Linked DNA regions of Xenopus tropicalis. The protein of the gene in region 2 interacts with the protein of the main gene of each other region in a biochemical or structural test. Links are inferred from orthologs where the notes say so. Each region holds a gene or a part of one and is shown on either strand. Other genes may lie near its edges. The genes, in order: fgfr1, fgf9 and fgfr3.

Region 1 (3,652 bases), on a different chromosome or scaffold from region 2:
CCCCCAGCCTCACATCCAATGGCTCAGGCACATTGAAATTAATGGCAGCAGAGTGGCCTCGGATGGCTTCCCGTATGTGGAAATCCTCAAGGTAAATACATCTGTTGTCCTATGTGCCATGTGTTGTTTGGCTCCCTGCAAGGCGAGACACTCCTTCTGTTACAGTTACGCTTATTTTCCCTTCCTTTTGTTGTTTTTTTAATCCACCTATGACGCCCTAGGAGGACAGAGTTGCAAACAGATGCAGCGTGCTGACTCTCCTGAATGTAATTACCAATAAGTGCATTATTTATTAACCAGGGTGCTGCTAAATATAGCTGCGGACACAAACACGTCCCGGCTGCTTTCTGCGTTTTATCTTCAGGAACAAGATAGGTAGAGAGTTGCGGTAGGTCTCTCTCCCTTTGTCTGGAAAGTCATTTTGAATTTTCACCGAGGAGGAGCAGGCACACTTAGTTAGCAGTGATCCCCAACCAGTGGATCAGGAGCAACATGTTTCACCAACCCCTTGGATGTTGCTCCCAGTGGCCTCAAAGCAGTTGCCCGTTTTTGAATTTCCAGTTGAATTTTGGAGGCATAAAGACCATGTGTCCTGCCAAACAGAGCCTCCTGTCTGCTGCCAGTCCACATTGGGCTACCAGATAACAAATCACAGCCCTTATCGGCCACCCCTTTGGAACTTTATTCATGCATGGGTTATATTATTTAAATGTTAAATGTTGTTCACAGCTAAAGGTTTGGGACCCCTGGTCTATAGTATGGCAAGGGTGCTTTTGTTATACTGCAACTCTCCCCATTACAGTAGGTGTTCAACAGCTGAACAGCTTCTGGTTGAATTCCCTTGAACGCAGGTCATAAATGTTGCTTTTTATAAATACTTATGCCCAATATTTTACCCTTTCCTGCAGTTCAGCCAAAGGGGCATCAGTGCCTACCCTAATGCACTAAGCAGAAAACAGGCATCAAAACTTTCTGACAAATGTTAACATCCACAAACCTTGGTGGACCCAGGTCTCACTTCCTAGAGTTTGTCATAGTATCTAATGATTATGTTATGGCCTTCCAGGAACTCCTAGCAACCAATTAGTAAAAACACTGATTGTTTTGAGTTGCTGGCCTGGTTTAACATTCATATATCTTTGTCATAAGGTTTTAAACCCATTGTACATAGAGCTTGTTGTACCAGCACAGTAGTAGTGTTCATACTAACACTGGGCAAATATCGGCACAGTGCAGTAAGTCCAAAAACCCTACATGTCTCCAAAGTTCCATCCTGAAGTTCCACATTTCTTTTTTTAATCTTGATCCAACCTCTCCCTTGTGCCAGGGGCACACTGCTCATGCTCAGTCTGATCATTATGGAGCAGACCTTAGAACTAGCTCTAAACATTTGGTGCACTATTTATGCTTTGAGTGAAGATGGCACAGGAGAGTTTAATAAATGGCCACAGAGGCATTTATATGATGTTTGTGTATGTTCGTCTTTCCTTTGTCATTTTGATTCCCTCCTGTTATCGGTTTGTTTCAGCACTCTGGGATTAATAGCTCAGACGCAGAAGTTTTGACCCTTTACAATGTGACTGAGGCAGAGAGTGGGGAATACATATGTAAAGTGTCCAATTATATTGGTGAGGCCAATCAGTCTGCGTGGCTTACCGTCACCAGACCCGTGACAAAAGGTAAAATCGGTGGCACCTCCTGGAAAAAAAATGGTTTTGGTACAATATCTCTGCCAGACTCTTGGACAGAAACAATTATATTTCTTCCCCTTTTTAATGTGCTTTTATTTCCATGGAAAAATACTTGGTGTGTGAGGCTGGTTTTAGTTTCATTGTGTTTCTGCTTTATTCTCTTATTCTTTCCTTATTTCTAACCTGTTTTTAATTCGGTATTATTATTTCTTTCTTGTTTTACACACTTGAGATTTCTACCTTCTCCTCAACCCCACATGATATTGATTTATCAGCCATGTTTGTTCTAAACTGAACTGACCTAGGCTAGTGTTTATTTTTGCGCACAGTAGGCTGATGGGAAATAAGATATGGCCACCACACAACTAAATTTACCATCTCCGTTCCACCGGCTTCCATCTCATGAAGTGCCCAAATTCCCCAGGCAGCATACTGAATGTACCCTGTCTTGGAAAAAAAGGAAAAGAGCCACTGCATAGTCACCATAGAAGGCAGTGGGTCCCCTTTTAGGATTATTTGTAATATGAAACACTCATATATAGGTATATCATGCCACATTACAATGGAGTGATATCTAAAGATAAATGGTGTAGCCAACATATCTACAAAACTTGGCTGAAGTAAATATCCACGCCTAGTGGCTTCTGCTATATTTTTCAATAGAGTATGCACCAGGAACTACAACTGGCTGTAGCGTACTGGAGATGTCCTTGGCACTTCTGTGCTCATTGTACCAGATCCCCATGACCATGTGACTTTTCTTTATTAAACGTCTTTTATTCTGAAAATGTTCTCACAGTTCCTTCTATCCTAATTTTCTTCTTTAGCATCTTCAACTCTGTCCTAATTCTATTCTTCATCATCTTCTCTGTCCTATTTCTCCATTTTCTTCTGTCTTAATTCTCTTTTACCCTGTCCTAATTCACCTTAGCGTCGTCGTCTTCTCTGTCCTGATTATCTTCTTCAGCATTTCCCTTTGAAATTAAACCAGGCTTCCACAACAGGTCTCATTTTTCCATGTTGCCAATCTCTAGCATGTTCCAATGGGAAGGAGGTCTCGATTTTTTTTTTTGGTGACGGGTTTAACCAAGGTAGCTTCTCCTTAGGTGGAACTTGATGGAAGAAGCTATCGTAAATCTTCTAACCAGGTTTCTTGCAATGGTTTCTTTTCTTTATACCCTGGGACCTCTGGTTCCAAGGCAACAACCTGCCTTCTGCTCTTTTGGTTTCTGATGGCTTTTCCTCCCTCTACGATGCTCTTATCTGTAGACTGCAGGAGTCAACACCTCGGACAAGGATATGGAGGTTCTCCACCTGAGAAATGTTACTTTTGAGGATGCTGGCCAGTATACCTGCTTGGCCGCTAACTCCATTGGGATATCTCATCATTCTGCATGGTTGACCGTTCTTGAAGGTATATATGGTTCTGTTCTGTCCTATCTGACTATACCTCTAAACATTTCATGCATTTCAGAGCCAAAGGATTCCAACAAAGCAAACACATATAACAGCTCTAATAAGTGATTATTTTATCATGAGTTGGTCAGGTTATATTTAGTGTATTAGTACAAACTTTATCATGTAATAGCCTCTTTTTTTGCCATTTAACCCAACGGCTACTCAAATGGTCATACTTTTGAAAGTAAAGACATTTGAGAAAATGAACATAATAAATCAACAAAATATACAGCAGGCAAAGCAGAGAGAAAATTCTCTGCTATCTTTATGAGCCTTTTCCTATTAAAGAAGAATTCTAGTATAATGACACTGTTGGGATCTTTGTATAATTATACACTGTAACATACCACCTTCAGTTACATTGGGAATAGCCTAGAGGAAGGAGAAAATGATGATGACAACCTTGAATAAAGCTACACACACACTTAGGCTTGTGCTAAATCCCTGTGTTGTAAAATATAAGAGTGTAGGTTCCAATTCACTCATTCTCATTTTAAATGGCT
Region 2 (4,357 bases):
CCAATCACTCACAGCTTCTCTCCCTAAAACCCCGGCTGCGCTTTCCGGCAAACTCACCTTACTGATCTTATGAAAACTCCCTGATACTTTGTCGCACTGCATGAACAGCTGCAGTTCATTCAAAGTGCGGGAAACTGGTTCAGTCGCAAAGCTGAGGACCCCACCTATCCCAGACTTATAGCCCCCCGTTAGCTGGAAGTCAGCTCCCCTGCCCCTGTGGCTTTCCCTAAGGCAGAGCTTCCCTACACTGTGGGGTTGGCCCTGCAGCAGCGGCAGGGGGGTCTCAGCCTTAAGGCCAGTTAGGGTGAAAACTTGGGGGGGGGGGGTTGTTTATACATATACCTTAAAGTCCAGCTTCAATGTCTGTTAGTAATTTGGAGTAAAAACTAATTTTTTTGTTCTACATATTCTTGGAACTATGGCTAAAACCCTGACTCTCTAATCTTCTTATAAATTAAAGGGGGCTCTGACCAAAGGTTGGACCTGCTTGAATGGAAAAAGTCCAACTTCCCTGAATGATGGAGAGATGCCTGCTCATTCCTGTGCCCTTGGTCCCTCATCATCATCATCTCTATAAGAAACACCATACAGTAGGACTGGGGTCCACATTTAGCAAACTAATTCCTGAATCCTGGGGGCCACTCACTGTGTGTAATCATTATGCCCCCCCAGCCCCCTGACATGGAACATGAATCTTATCTGCACTTTACTCTATACAGCTTGGAAAGTGTTAAAAATGAAAATACAGTTTTCAGGTGGGTTTTGACCCTGGCACAGTTAGATATTGATGCCCCCACCCCTCTGCAGGGGAATATTAAATACATTTTCCCCAGCACTGCTTTGCAGGGATCTCATTTGGGTCTGGCCCCTGCCTGAATGCAGCAATGCAGAACAAAATTTCTCTCTCTCTTCTTCAGCTTGGGAAGGAGTTAAAAGCATATGGGTGGGGGGGTTGCGCCCTCCAGTCTCCAGCTCCTAATGCTGAGTCACAAATAGCACCCTATAGAATGAAATCCAAGGCATGCTCTTTAAAATTAGTCCTGTGTCTTTATCCATCCATACAGCAGATGGGTCCTTGATGGTATAACTGCAATCACACAGGAATTTGGGAAAAGCAAATGGCAAACCATTTGTGCTGCTCATGCTATAACCCCCCAGGGGCCACACCTTTCTAAAATTGGACTGTTGTGTTCGATAGCCCCCAAGCGCTAAGGTACACCGAACAAGAAAATCCCAGACTATAAATATCACGCCAAGCAACCAGAGTATTCCTAAGGGCAAATAAAATCCAGAGTTTAAATCTGATAAACTTGGGGAATCGTAATAATATAGTGTTGACCCAAATCAATAAATTGCACCACTTAAATATAATAAAATCATATATCAGCTGGCAGTTAGAAGCAAAGGTGAGCTGACACTTGGGTGCCAACAACCCCTGGTGTTTATTCCTAAATACAGCATTGCAGACAGGCAATAAGGTAGGGATTTTCATCTGTTTCACTATCAGAGGATGCTGGGAATTATAGTAAAATAACAACTGTAAGACTGCAGACATCTCTAAATGAATGGGATGGGATATTGCCCTGCCCCAGTATCTGCTGAAACAACTGGCAGAATTCTATAAAGTCCATATAACGCTGCTTTGGTCCATGCCCACATACAGTGCAATAAATGAAACTTTACAGCATGCTCTTATTAAGTAGCTCTCACAGCCGCCGCTGCTGCATGGCCAAATGCTGCCTTTTTAGCCGGCTGCTGCATCTCAGCTGCTGAGCGAGTACCTGCATTGGGAGAGCTGCAGCCTATGGAATTGCTATCCCCGGGAAGGGGGCGGCAGAAGACAATACCTACCAAATCGGTTGTGATCCTGCCTGGTCCCTTGGATAGTCCCATTAGGGAAGATTTCCAAATGAAACCCAGTTCTGCAATAGAGCTGCCTCCTTCGGAGAATCCCTTTTAAATGTTCCAGGTCAGTGACCGCAGAGCCCCTGGGGAGCCCCCCTGCTTCAGAATGGCTCATGTGGTCACTTAACAACACAGGGGTATCCACTTGCAAGACGGGTACATTCCCAAAAGACACTGCATCCTGCACACCAAAATAGTTGCCAACTTCACCCAGGGGAGCCATCAGAAGCAGCTCTCTCCTCTCTCGCCCTGATGATGAATAAGCAGATAATGAGCTTGGAATAGCCCAGCTCAGGTGTGTGTGTATATATATATATATATATATATGTATAAAATATATATACTGTATCCACTCTTCCTGGGGAAGCAGAGAGGAGGGAGATCAATCCATTCAGTGCATCAATAAAAGTAAAGGTTCTGCTGGCAGGTTCAAGGTCAAGCCTGTGCTAGTCTGAGGAGCTCACACACTGACATCTCTCCCCTTCCACATGATTATCCCCTCAGCAGTCTGGCAGCTCTGCAGTCCATCCAATGGCAGGCAGGGGTAAAATCCCTAGTTGCTCCATTTGCTCTAGGATCACAATGCTCATAGCAACTTAATTAGCCAGGCGATCAGTGGAGATTTCTCTCTCTCTCTCTTTTTTTTGGTGGAAGATGCACAACCATAGGCTACGTCAGATTTGTGGCTCCTGACACAAGAGGAAGGCATGCGCTGTTATTAGTCTATCCCAGACTGCATAGATCAGCATGAAGCCCCAGCTAGAGAGGGCATGGAATAATAACAGCGAGAGGAAGCAGCACAATAAATAGAAAGGAAACTTTTCAGGTGCTGCTGCTGCAGGGGTCTGGCTTGCAGTGGTGCTGCTGCTGCTGCAGGGGGGATCAGGAAGGAGCATGGGCTGCTGCTGCCTGGGAACAGGTGTTAGTGCTGCTGCTGCTGCTGCTGTGCAGGCGGGCTCCCTGGGAAGTCTCCAGCTCTCAGGCTGCGGCTCCTGACTGAGCCTCTCCATCCAGCTCGCAGAGTGGCGCAGCAGCCAGGCATTGGGCTGGGTTTAAGTTAGGCGCTCTCTGCCTCTGGGTCCTACTGCCCGCCGGCTGCGGCGCTGGGAGAACTCGCTGAACGCCACAAGCGACTGCTGCCTCTGCTTCTCATCCCTGTCTGTGGCTCGTACGGAGGTGCAGTCTAAAGTCCTTGCAAGATTAGTGTGGTTTCTTGTTTTTTTTTTTCCTGGATATGAATAATATTGAGGAGCTGCCTAATGACTTCTTCTTTTAACCGGGCACTTACCGAAGAGACAAGCTGCATGGCTGCTTTGTTATCCAGATAAGTGCCCCAGGTTTATTAATGGGCCACTGAACAAGAAGATACAAGGGCATGGCTACAGGAGATATGAGGGGCCCCTTCTATATATGTCAAGGAAAACCCACTCTTTAATTGAGCGGTGTATAAAGTGAATTTGCTGTGGGGTTCAGGAATTTCTAGTTACACCACTAAGGGGACAGTTCTAGGTTAGGGTACAGCAGTGCCAGGCTGAAACATATGGGTGCCCAATCTTGCCCAAAGTAAATTTCTGCCCCTACCCTTCTACTCACCTACCCCCAGACTTAGCAACCCCTCCTAAATGGTCCCCACAGCCGCCGCTTGTGCCAGTCCCCCATCCCAGTGCTCTGTGAAGAGAGGGTGCAGAGGAAACTGCAGGAATTCTGACATTTTTCTCCTTCCTCTCAAGCTTTGCCCTAGGTAGCCGCCTCTCCTTAAGGTGGCCATACAAGCTCTGATTCTAGTCTTTATCCGACAAATGTTCAGATATTGGTTGTACGTTTAAATGCAACAATCTGAAACTATCATTTAAACTGATATTGTAGTATAAAGCCCTTAAACTACAAATCAGAGGATGTTCTTAACATGAAATAGTTGGCAGACACCCATCGTACGAAAGTGAATTCCATTGTAGGCCCCCCAAGGATATCGTCGATATACAATACATTCACAGATTTTATCATTATCCCACCAAAATTTTATAAGCTGGCTGATCACCTAAACAACCGATTGCCAAGGTACGGAAATGATCAGGACAATAATTCACACACAGTCTGAAAATCAGACAAAACGAGGTTTCCTACGATTTCATCGGTGTGTGTATGGCCAGCTTTAGTTTTGCCCCTGGGGTAGAGAGGGCATTTTGTGAGCCCTTTACCTGTTGTTAAACTACAGTTCCCAGGAGAAGCTGTATTTGTAGTTCAGTAATAGCCTGAGGGCTGCAGACTGGGTACCCTGACCTATTTTTCCCCCATCCCTCAAAGTTGGGACACTTAGGGGCAGATTTATCAAAAGTTTAAGTGGAGTTTAGTGGTCAGTACATAAAAACTCGTGCCCCTTCTATTAAAATTTTTAAAAATTACAAGTTTAGGATCTGTTATCCAGAATGCTTGGGACCTGTGTTTTTTTGGA
Region 3 (3,652 bases), on a different chromosome or scaffold from region 2:
TTAAGTCACCCAAGGAACCAGAGAGACTGTTATCAGAGCACCCAAGGACTTGATAAAGATTCCTTTCTTTCCTTTCATACCAAGATGATTGTTTTGGGTGCCTATAGTTTTACCTGATGCTGGTTTGTAAATGTGGAGCCAAAAGGACGCCTCAGCTACGCCTATGAAATTGTTGGCTCTACACACATACTGTCCTTCATGGGTCTCTGTCACATTTTTTAGACTTAGGGTAGTATCGACTTCAGTGCCATTGGTGAAAGACTGCAGGAACAGACAGATGCTGTGACTTTGGTTAAAGGGTAAAAAAAGGAACATTGCTACGGATACTAGATAACACATTGTATTGCTGAGATGTCTACAGGTGAGGTCCAAGCTGGGAGAACTGCCTTTGAGTCCTTATACACAGACTTTGATTCCTGCTGTAAAGCCTGTAAACATCATAAATGTAACTGTTCTGGATGCAGAAACCAAATACAAGTCAGGCTAATATTAATGTAAACACAGCCATTTGGCGGCCATCTTGTATATAACCCACAATGCACTTCTCAGCATTCTGGGATTGGAACCTAATGCAAGCTGTGTCCACATGTCAGACAAAAACAAATGAAAATAAAGCAGAGGCTGAAATCTGTTTTTAATGGATTCTTTAAGAATATAAAGGCATGGTCTGTAAATCTGCTGAGAGGATATTCAGCAAAGACAAACACTGGCCGAGAAATTCAGCTTCCTACCCGCATTAGTGTAAATGCTGTCTCAATTACCCGGATTTATAAATAGGATCCGGAGACAAAATATAAGCAAAAGCTGCGGTCTGAAGCTGCCGGTGACATAGCCCATTATAAACAGGCAGTGTGCCTCTCCACACCAAAGCTTTTTCTTATAATCCCATATATCCCTAACTAGTGATGTACGAGGAGCAGCCAGAAGCAAAGGATTATGGGGCTGCAGTCTATGGAAGAGGCCTGTGAGCTTTATGTCATCCTAACATTGAGTAGGAGGCAATGGGATCCAATGAAATGTGGTTATTAAAGGGGTAATACATGGCAATGGTATCCCTTTAAAAAGGAATTGTACAGACATTTGGTACAGGTATAGGACCCGTTATCCGGAATGCTCGGGACCAAGGGTATTCCAGATAAGGGGTCTTTCCGTAATTTGGATCTCCATACCTTAAGTCTACTAAAAAATCAATAAACCATTAATTAAATCCAATAGGGCTGTTCTGCCCCCAATAAGGAGTAATTATATCTTAGTTGGGATCAAGTACAGGTACTGTTTTATTATTACAGAGAAAAGGGAATCATTTAACCATTAAATAAACCCAATAGGGCTGTTCTGCCCCCAATAAGGGGTAATTATATCTTAGTTGGGATCAAGTACAGGTACTGTTTTATTATTACAGAGAAAAGGGAATCATTTAACCATTAAATAAACCCAATAGGGCTGGTCTGCCCCCAATAAGGGGTAATTATATCTTAGTTGGGATCAAGTACAGGTACTGTTTTATTATTACAGAGAAAAGGGAATCATTTAACCATGAAATAAACCCAATAGGGCTGTTCTGCCTCCAATAAGGGGTAATTATATCTTAGTTGGGATCAAGTACAGGTACTGTTTTATTATTACAGAAAAAAGGGAATCATTTAACCATTAAATAAACCCAATAGGGCTGTTCTGCCCCAATAAGGGGTAATTATATCTTAGTTGGGATCAAGTACAGGTACTGTTTTATTATTACAGAGAAAAGGGAATCATTTAACCATTAAATAAACCCAATAGGGCTGTTCTGCCCCAATAAGGGGTAATTATATCTTAGTTGGGATCAAGTACAGGTACTGTTTTATTATTACAGAGAAAAAGGAAATCAGTTTTAAAATTCTGAATTATTTGATTAAAATGGAGTCTATGGGAGACAGGCTTTCCGTAATTTGGAGCTTTCTGGATAATGGGTTTCCGGATAAGGGATCCCATACCTGTACAATACAAAAAAAGAAAAAACAGCATTGGTCTGCGGCACATTTGCTATAAGGCAACTTACTTGCAGCACGGTGACGTAAGGATCTCCGTCTGGGCCGTACTTGCTGCCATTTACTTCCACGTGTTTCAGCCACTGAATATGAGGCTGGGCATCACTGTACACTTTGCAGTGGAATTCTACGTCGCTCCCAATCACAACTGTTTGGTTAGCAGGTAACCCGGCCTGAAGGATAGGCCGATGAGAGGACCGCTCTACAAACCGGAAACAAGGCTTCATGTTAGGCTAAAGGGGTGCAAACATGGCGACTCCCACTCATAACTACAGTCATGCAAGGCAGGAATGTTCTGGGCACCTCATTCATTTGCACTACAGCACTAAAATAACTTCCCAAATAATGGTAATTTCTGACCACTAGGGGCACTGTGTCTCAATAGAGAGGACTACCATTACCATCTCTGGTAACAAAATGTCAGCTCCCATATATTTCCCATATCAAATGGGAGGCTTATCTTCCATTAACTGTAGTTCAGTTTTCATTTATATGCATATCCTTTAGACATTTCTATTTAGAAACCCTACAGAACGCCGGAGATGATGTGTCACTTTCCTTTGGCCCCCGAAGAAGAGGCACGGAACAGATAAATACAAATGTCCGTGGTTACAGTGCACATCATTGTTGTGTCTATTGACATTTTTCCATGAAATTACAGACTCGACTCCTTCTCCAGACCCGAGAGCCGTTTTCATGCTTAAACCCATCTCCAAGGCCACAATATTTTTTAAACAAACTTCCATTAAAATATTTGGTTCCCCCCACCAATCTTTAAATAAACAGGTTTTAAGGTGTCCCTGCCAAAGCCCTTTTCTGGCAGATTCTTTACCCTTTCACTGGACCTACATGAAAGCTCCTCGGAGATGTTGTTGTACGTGAGGCCTAGAGACCTGAATCCCTCCATTTCCTGAGGAGGCATTGTACCACCTGAAGCTCATGAAGAAACCTCTATAAAAAGCTGGCAAGCCACCGCAACATTAGACCTGGAACCTGCCAGCAATGGAGTTACATTTCCCGGGATTTAGGCAACCATTAGGAACCTATTGTAGGGCTGCCAGGAACATAATCTCCTCACCCATCCGCAGCTATAAGAGCATAAACAGCACAACAAACAAAACAGGTATTGTAACCCTAGCACACACAGCTCCTTCAGCAGCCACTAAAGGGTGGGAGGGTCCCCAACAAGGCAAGTGTTCAGGGCCTCTCATGCATATGAATGATACAATTTACATGGAATTAGCCTTACTATGAATGGGCCAAATAAGCTCAAGTTGTTCTAAACTAATGTCTAGACAAGCAAGCCCTTGACGTTCCTAAAAGCCATTTCCTCTACAGCACCAGCATAGATAATGCCCGGTAGCCTTACCCAGGACGTCAAGTTGATAGGTTTGACGGATGCTTCCATACTTGTTCTCCACCACACACGTGTAGTTGCCTTTATCCGATGGGACCACGCTCTCCATAACAAGGCTCCACTGCTGATGTCGGAGCTACAATAAAGAAAACATGCAGCAAGTTATTATGATAAAATATATAAATATAAAAAGTAAACTCAAGTCCATTGCAAAACCTGGGGTCATTTTCACTCTGCAGTAGGAAAGCAACCCGATTAACAATTAGAG

What was found.
Region 1: the proteins of fgf9 (region 2) and fgfr1 interact in a biophysical measurement, tested with the Homo sapiens proteins (2 studies listed by BioGRID and IntAct, with this or other methods). The link is inferred for Xenopus tropicalis from reciprocal best matches to the Homo sapiens genes FGF9 and FGFR1.
Region 3: the proteins of fgf9 (region 2) and fgfr3 form a complex in vitro, tested with the Homo sapiens proteins (3 studies listed by BioGRID and IntAct, with this or other methods). The link is inferred for Xenopus tropicalis from reciprocal best matches to the Homo sapiens genes FGF9 and FGFR3.

Annotation. Positions count from the first base shown.
Region 1 is NC_030679.2:130,977,122-130,980,773, forward strand, and holds part of fgfr1 (fibroblast growth factor receptor 1 precursor), read left to right. Parts: coding exon 1-91; intron 92-1,528; coding exon of another isoform or gene 1,529-1,679; intron 1,680-2,960; coding exon 2,961-3,105; intron 3,106-3,652. UniProt on the Homo sapiens protein: Tyrosine-protein kinase that acts as a cell-surface receptor for fibroblast growth factors and plays an essential role in the regulation of embryonic development, cell proliferation, differentiation and migration.
Region 2 is NC_030678.2:157,500,525-157,504,881, forward strand, and holds the start of fgf9 (fibroblast growth factor 9), read right to left. Parts: upstream 2,945-4,357; 5' UTR 2,129-2,944; coding exon 1,852-2,128; intron 1-1,851.
Region 3 is NC_030677.2:20,895,612-20,899,263, reverse strand, and holds part of fgfr3 (fibroblast growth factor receptor 3), read right to left. Parts: intron 3,521-3,652; coding exon 3,397-3,520; intron 2,230-3,396; coding exon 2,039-2,229; intron 262-2,038; coding exon of another isoform or gene 114-261; intron 1-113.